2 linked regions of the Drosophila melanogaster genome follow. Changing the gene in region 1 together with any one later gene gives a genetic interaction. Each region holds a gene or a part of one and is shown in the gene's direction. Other genes may lie near its edges.

The links.
Region 2: of U2A (region 1) and mei-P26, changing one suppresses a phenotype caused by changing the other (phenotypic suppression), as found in Drosophila melanogaster (one study listed by BioGRID).

The regions. Positions count from the first base shown.
Region 1 is NT_033778.4:7,674,862-7,677,892, reverse strand, and holds U2A (U2A), read left to right. Parts: upstream 1-1,530; 5' UTR 1,531-1,657; coding exon 1,658-2,455; 3' UTR 2,456-2,531; downstream 2,532-3,031. Other genes in the region: LRR (Leucine-rich repeat), read left to right, coding at 159-251; CG12107 (uncharacterized protein), read right to left, coding at 2,803-2,998. UniProt on the Drosophila melanogaster protein: Involved in pre-mRNA splicing as component of the spliceosome. Associated with sn-RNP U2, where it contributes to the binding of stem loop IV of U2 snRNA.
Region 2 is NC_004354.4:9,161,693-9,166,793, forward strand, and holds the start of mei-P26 (meiotic P26), read left to right. Parts: upstream 1-1,562; 5' UTR 1,563-1,706; intron 1,707-2,470; exon of another isoform or gene 2,471-2,642; intron 2,643-3,989; 5' UTR 3,990-4,767; intron 4,768-4,827; exon of another isoform or gene 4,828-4,842; 5' UTR 4,843-4,846; coding exon 4,847-5,101. Other genes in the region: Zpr1, read right to left, coding at 1-282; CG44532 (uncharacterized protein), read left to right, coding at 783-1,334.

The DNA.
Region 1 (3,031 bases):
CTAACATTCGCATTTGCTGCATAGTGTGTATTCCTTAAGTTGTGTCGTATTAGCCAGTATGCCGCATTTTGCCTGTAATTTCATCTAGTTTGTGTTTGCCTGTTTAGCTCCTATTTAATCGAGCCGTCTAATAGAATCACTCTTCCACTTACCCACAGGAGACATTAGTTGAAGAACTGCAGCAGAGCATGGCGACCAGACGCGGTTTTAGAGACTCGACCTACACCAAGGAGGATGTCGTTGATTTATAAGTGTTCTAGTTATATGCTCAACATTCCCTCACGTCGATCCCTAGTCCTTCACCCAACCTGCCACAGTTTCACGTGATAGATAGTAGGGTTGATGATAACGTTAAGTGATGATACTGATGATAAGGAGGAAATGAGATGAAATGGTGAAGACAGAAGGATAGAGGGAAACAAGGTTGCAACTTATCGTACTGAACCATTAATTTATGTGCAATGCCGCGTGTGTGTTGTTTTCATTTGGCAATTTAGAATGAACGTGATTTATTTATTGATACAAACCCTGATACTTTTATCCAAATTAACCTTTGCATATTTTTAAAAATGTTTTGTGTACTATATTTTATATTTTTATGTATTTAAATCAGTTAAGTGCCAATTATATACAGAATTAATCTACAAATATTTTTAGCGTGTGCTCTACATCAATTTCAATGAAACTAACGAAAATAACGCAATGAATATGATACACTATACATATTATGTAATTCGATTGAGTGTATAAGAACTATTTTAATGGGCTAAACCTAAAAAAATCTAAATGAAATATAATATTTTTTATAACTGCTTCCAAATACAAACTTTATGGTTTATTATTTCCCCTTTTCTGTTTACCTCCCCTATACACATACTTATAGTATTTATAGTATTTAAGCGACAATCCGTTTTCAAATTTTGAGGCGCGTTATGCCGCCAGAAACAAATGCATTTATTTAGAAACAAGGCGGAGACCGACGATCTTATTGATTATTTTCTAAATAGTTAACAATTTAAGAAACTAGGCGAAAACGAAACCGATATAAAATTACTAAGCCATTTAACAACAGAAAACCGAAATCTATAGAAAACTAATTACCCTTATCGCAAAACGATCAACTTCAATTTTGATGATCTAGTAGTTTGCACCAACGACACAGAATATATTCAGAGCAGCGTTTAAACTTTAAACCAGTCCACCACCGACCACACACTTCGAGTTTTGAGTGTATCCCGTTCTCATTCAAAACCCCGAAACGAAATAAGAGAAACTTAACGTGTTCATTAAAGTTAAGCAATTAAAACATCATTGTAATCTATTGAAATTCAAATTAAACGGAAACGATATTGGACAGTAGTGTTATTTATTTATTTTTGAATTTCGAAAGATCAGGGGCCCTATTGGCAGCATTGGAGTAATCCCAGTATTATTACGATATTTAGAATGGTAGAAGCCCAGCAGACCGATAAAATACCAAAACATTGTTACCACTAGATCTATCGATAGCGATGCCGGCATTGCTTGCTATCGGAAAACTGTTCATCACCAACTCGCGTCGGCAGCGAATTGTTTTTCTGCATTTCGGAAAATAAGCTTCAAAAGAGTATAAAAAGACCGAGTAAAGACCAAACGTAAGCATACTATAACTGCCAAGATGGTGAAACTAACGCCGGAGCTGATAAACCAGTCGATGCAATACATAAACCCATGCCGGGAGCGCGAGCTGGATTTGCGCGGCTATAAGATTCCACAAATCGAGAACCTGGGCGCAACTCTGGACCAGTTTGATACCATCGACTTGTCCGACAACGATCTGCGCAAGCTGGACAACCTGCCGCATCTGCCGCGCCTCAAGTGCCTGCTGCTGAACAACAACCGCATCCTGCGCATCAGCGAAGGGCTGGAGGAGGCGGTGCCCAACCTGGGCTCCATCATTCTCACCGGCAACAACCTGCAGGAGCTGAGCGACTTAGAGCCCCTGGTCGGATTCACCAAGCTGGAAACCATCTGCCTGCTTATCAACCCGGTATCCACGAAGCCCAACTACCGCGAGTACATGGCCTACAAGTTCCCGCAGCTGCGGCTACTCGACTTCAGGAAGATCAAGCAGAAGGACCGCCAGGCGGCGCAGGAGTTCTTCCGCACCAAGCAGGGCAAGGACGTGCTAAAGGAGATTAGCCGGAAGTCCAAGATGAGCGCCGCAGCCGCCATAGCTGCAGAGGCGGGGAATGGCAAGGGAAGGGGATCGGAAGGCGGACGACTGGCCAATCCGCAGGACATGCAGCGCATCCGCGAGGCCATCAAGCGGGCCAGCTCTCTGGCAGAGGTGGAGCGTCTATCGCAGATCCTGCAAAGCGGCCAGCTGCCGGATAAGTTTCAGCACGAGATGGAGGCGGTGGCACAGAACGGGGCGGGGCACAACGGTTCGGGGGCCGTGGCCATGGAATACTAGGACTAGAATTATCCGCTCATCTGTCAGCTACCTTATAACCGTAGACCAATATTTTTTAATAAAACACCAAAAGTTGATTCATCGCATTCTGCATTTCGGACACTCAAAAACATATAGAATCTTCTGTTTTCAACTAAGACCGCTGGCCGAAGGATCTTTCACGGAAAGATTCGGGACAATCGGTCACAACAGAAATGCATTTACATGACCGTAATTGGCTAAAAGTTTAACAATCTACAGCGAGTACAAAGGGGACACAAAACGAGAGGAGCTGCTGGCTTATGTGGAGAGTGGAGTGGTGTGGTGTGGACCTGGCTCCTGGAATCCGGTATTGCTGGGGAGTGTTATTAAGATCCTTTCGCCGCCATTATGGCGTCGTAGTGCAGGCCAGTGTAGAAGATGATCCACGTGACCAGGAATCCGGCAAACGACGTCATGAACCCCTCCTTGATCAGCTCCCATACCCCTCCGTAGGCGTCCTCGTCCACGTTCTGAAAGTTTATGGCGTACAGGTAGACGATCCCGCAGCTGATGCCGGCGAATCTGGGGGCGCATTGGATTGATTAAGTGAAGTGA
Region 2 (5,101 bases), on another chromosome or scaffold:
GCGAATGCCGGACTTTTGGATCTCCGATGCCGACTGCATCTCGTTGTTGATGTGGCCGCAGTGGTCGCACTTGAAGGACATGAGCACCACCTCGCGAAAAAAGGGTATCTTGGTGGGCAGCAGCCGAGTGACTCCCGTTTCGAAGCAGTTCATGCAGGCGGATTCGACCTCCACTATCTCGTCGGTCTGCTCCGCATTGATTTCCCGGAAAATGGGCTCCGGCCGAATGTTCCCCGCACTCTCCGGCGGATTGCTACTGTTGGGGTCGCTCACGGTGGACATGATTTGATTGCTATCCACACGAAAGTTCCTGTTTAAGTGTGCTTTTTTAAATGAAATGTATATGTTTGGGGCGAAACGTGCAAGTTTAATCGATAGACGCTGACGATAAGTGTCGATAGTCGTCGTGTGACCGGCTTGCATATGCTTAAAACTCCTTAAATACCCAGAAGTGTGCTCGGCGCGTTGATCTTAAACGCTCGAGAATTTACTCGTGTTCGATAGAAAATTCCCCGAAATAAAAAGGTGCACAAATAAATTTAAGAGCTTACCTGTAGCGGTACACGGTAAGGCCATAAAACAAAAACTGATTGGCCATCTGCATATTAATCTGGGAATACCACCTACCTGACACACGTTCTTCCTAAAATTACCTGCGCTTTCAGAAATAACTGGAGTCCTTTTGTAGAGCGACAATTCAAGGCAGTACAAAAAGAGCCAAGCTTAGAGTATCATTGAATTGTTGATATTCCTGTTACCATTTTAAGAGACTTTCAATTAAGATGGCCGGATCGTCGAGCATTAGTGCGCTGTTGGCCGAGCAAATGAATTTGGGCGAGAAGATTCAAAGCATTATTCGCAATTATAAAAAGGCTCCGGCTCAACGGAAATCTAAACCTGGATATTTTGAAGGGCGACTATCCAAATTGCAAAGCTTGTGGGATGCATTTTCCAAAGGGGAAAATACTATTAAAACTCGCAACGAAAAGACGCAAATGGAACATACATACTTTAAAAACAACTTCTTTGTCAAAATAAAGACTTTGGTAGTTGAATATACATCAGAATTCAATCGAAAACTGCACGCATCGGAAAATGATACTGAAAACGTGCACGCATCGGAATTGGATACTAAACACGTGCCCGCATCGCAGCAGAATTCTGAAGATCAATTCAATTCTATGCTTAGAGAGCATCGGATATTGATGGACAGATTGGATAATATTATAAACGAGTTGGAATGCGTGACAAGGAATGGGATTAATCCCATCATTTTACCCTATTTAACTGATATGCAAAATATGCATGCGGAAATGAGTCAAACTGACATTTAAATGTAATGTAACATGTAATAATAAAGCGTATTTTGTGTTATTATTTAAATATATATATATATAATTATATTATACTTATTAAAGATGTAAGCTTTGCGGAATGAAAACTTAAAATAAATATTTGGCGACCGATACGCGTTTATTCAATATAACTATCGATATCAGGGCATCGCTTTTCAAAAACTATCGATACGTGGCTGTGCTGAAATATATATCTATCATCCCTAGCTGCACTGCATACAAAAGTTCGACGGGAGCAGTAAAGTAATTATTTGTTTAATCCAATAATTATCGACTCCAATCAAATTGGCGGTCTTCTGGTTGTTTTTAATGTCCCAGAACGTGCTAAATTCGCTGAATCAGTGAATAACGGTAACTGTAGATATAACTGCCTGTGGTGTGTAGTGTTCTCTTGTGTTCCTGCGTGTAGGCGTTTGTGTGGGACGGGCAAATATAAAATCGTAACGTAACAAGCAAAAGAGAGCAGCAAAAAACAAAAAGAACCAACAAAAAAACGTGTGAAAACGAAAACTACATTTAAATATAAGGTGGTGACAGTTGCGAAAAAGCAGTTAGCAGTTTAAATTGGACAGTAAAAGCTGACAACGCCGGACAGACAGTGAAGTGTTCAGGCATTTCAAGGACCTTTTTCGCCTCCTGTCTGCTGTTCGGTTTGTGAGAGTGTGTGTGTATGCATGTGCAGGCGTGTGTGTTGAGTGCCTTTTGACCACGACCACCTGGGCGGTAGTCAAGTGGAAATTTTGCGTTCAAGGACAACGGCAGTGCCCCCCCTTGTCGATTGTCACCCCGCGACCCCGTCGAGAGTTGTCTTAGCCACCACCCGCGCCCCCCAACTAAAACTTTTAAATCGACGACAGTTCGTCCGGTCGGTCAAGAATAGTGTTTATTCCGAAATCGAAAAAGGGAATTCAGTTTTAATTTCACATGGTGTGTGTGTGTGTTTTTTTTTGTATTCTGTATGTGTGGGTGCCGTTTTTCGTATTCGTATTTCATTTTTTGCCGCGTTGAGTGAGCTTGCGCACACCAATACGAACGAAATTGAGAACTTTTCTTCGCATAACCGATTTTTCGCTCTCTCTCTCTCTCAATCGCTTATCGCTCCTCTTCTATCTCTTTCGCAGCCCAGCCAGCGCTGCACTCGAAAATAACCGTTTGCGAGTAGCAAGAGAGAGAGCGGCACACATTTAAAAGTGAAATAAATCAAAAAGTACGTGGAAATGGACAAGAAAATATCAGCTGCGGCGCAGAATTGACAAAGTCGATAGGGGGACCAACAAAATCATCCAGGTCCGATAAAGCAAAGCAAAATAAAACAGAACAGTGAAAAAAAGGGGCAAAGCAGCGGTACTAAATTCCGTTTACCACGTGTGTTCGCTTGTAGGCGCTTGTGTCTGTGTGTATGCAGCTGATTCGGCATGTGGGTGTTTGGTTGCGAGTGTTTGGAGGGGGCACAAAACTAAAGTAGATTTTAAACTACCGCTCACTTCCGCTGATTTAAACGTATTTATTTAGGCAATTGCCTTGCCCCAATTGAATTAGTTGTTCAAGGACTTTGTGCCCCAGCTTGTCCTTGTTAGGGCAGCTATTTTTTTGCGCAGCTAGCGGATAAATGGCTAGAAAGGTCATCACTATGAACGCGCCTGCGTGAACGGGTAGCAAAAGCAGGAAGCAGGAGTAAAGAAGAGCTTGATGTGTGTGTGTGTGTGTGTGTGTGTGGCGCATAGCTACACATAACGGAGAAAAACGTAACGTAAACTTAACGCAAAAGGGAACCGATACTACCACCCCCTTCCCCACTCTCTCCATTAGTGGCCTAACATAGACATTAATTGGATAACCTACGATCGGATAAACATTCAATGCACGAAATCTATGTTGCTAGTTCTTATCCTTTCCCATTAAACTCTCAAAACGGCATTATTCCATTCCATCCTGGTAGCTCTTGCCGGCTATATTAATTCAAATTCGATTTCATGGGAAAGCGTTATACAAATGCCAAGCGTTTTGAATTGGACTACGCCTAAGGTCCCGTCGCAGTCGAATTGGAAGAAGGCAACAATTCTTGTCAGATGATGACATAAAATTATAGATATAGATATAGATAGATATAGATATTTCACTAAATAACACAATTTTGGTAATCAATAAAAAGTTTTCAAACCTAATCATATTTTTATTATTTTTTTTACTTAACTGACTTAGGACTTCAAAATGAATAAGAAAATTATTACCTATTGTATATCAATAAGAATCGCATTTCCAATTCTTGCTGAGTTACGTTAATTTTGAAATTAGATTTATCTGAAAAATGGCCAATATACTTTGCTAACATCCGGAAAGTATGCAGCAGAGTGTGTGAGTGTGTGTGTGCTGTTGCAAAAGCCAGAGGCGTTTTAAAGGGGGTTGCACTGCGTATGGAAAGGGTAAAAAAGAAATGTTTCATTTGATTTAATGCCAAATTCCCTTTCTCCATATGTCAGTAAGGTTCATCTATATTTGATATATTTTGTTCTGCGTTACAGAATTTATATTTCTGTTTTAGTTTTATATTTATTAATTTGTACATTTTTGTAAATTTCTAGCCACCGATTAACGTGATTTTTGTATCCATTGTTCTTTTTTAAATACCAAAAGGAGCGGCGCTGTCGTCCAATTTGCATCGCCGTGTTCTTCGTCAGTGTTTGTTGTCGTCTCCTCGTTCGTCCTTAATTTTATTTCGTCCTTGTGCAACAAGAAGAAGCAAAAGAACAGCCACATCAAACAGGAGGAGGATCACTGCAATACACAGTTTCCAAATGCTTTAAAAATATTCGGCAATATCTAAATATCTAGAAAAGTAAGACAAGCAGCGAATCAGCAACAACAATCGAAAACACCAAACAAAAACCAAAAAACTAAGATAAGCCGAAAGCCGAAGGAGGCTCGCAAATTTGTTTACAAATTTGCAATACATTTTAAGTAAGCGGAGGAGAAGAAGGGGTGTTTGTTGCGCATCAGTGTGTGTGTGTGTGCGTGCGCGTGGATTGTATAGGTCCTTCGCTCATTTTTACCCCGACGAAACGAACTATTGTTGGCCTTTTCTTGCGGCAATAGAAGGGACCTCAATTGGAATGGCCCTCGTGGGAGAGCGGAGGGACATTAGGGAGCAGCAGAAGTAGCAGCAGCAGCAGCAGCAGCAGCAGGATTAGGATCAGGAATAGGATCAGGAATAGGATCAGCAGCAAATGCAAGCAAGCGCAAAGGACTAGAAAAGCAAGCAGCGACCAGAATTTAGGAGCCAGGAAATACGGAATTGCAATCAGGAAACAGGAACGGGAACGGGAAAAGCAGCCCAAAAACAATAAAACAAAAGGAATCCATTGAATCGACAAAAGACAAGAACTTGTTGTATCAGAGCAGCGCCAAAAGAAAGGTGAGTAGTAGTTATTCAAGAATAATATTCGGCTTTACTGGTATTCCTGATCAATCAAAGTTAACTTGTTTGTAGGACAATGACTACTTTGGAGGAGCCTGTCCAGGCGGCGGACACGGTCGATCCGTGTCCTCCGGGGATTCCCAATCTGAAAACCGTTCTCAGCGACGATGCCTCGAACTCATCGGTGCTGGAGGACATCGATGTGAGCAATACGAGCAGCAGTAGCTCCAGTTCTAGCAGCTCTAGCTCCAGCTCTGGTTCCTGCTCGGGATCGGGCACCGATACGGACACCGGCAAGGGTAGCAGCAATGTCGGCAGTCTGGATGTGACT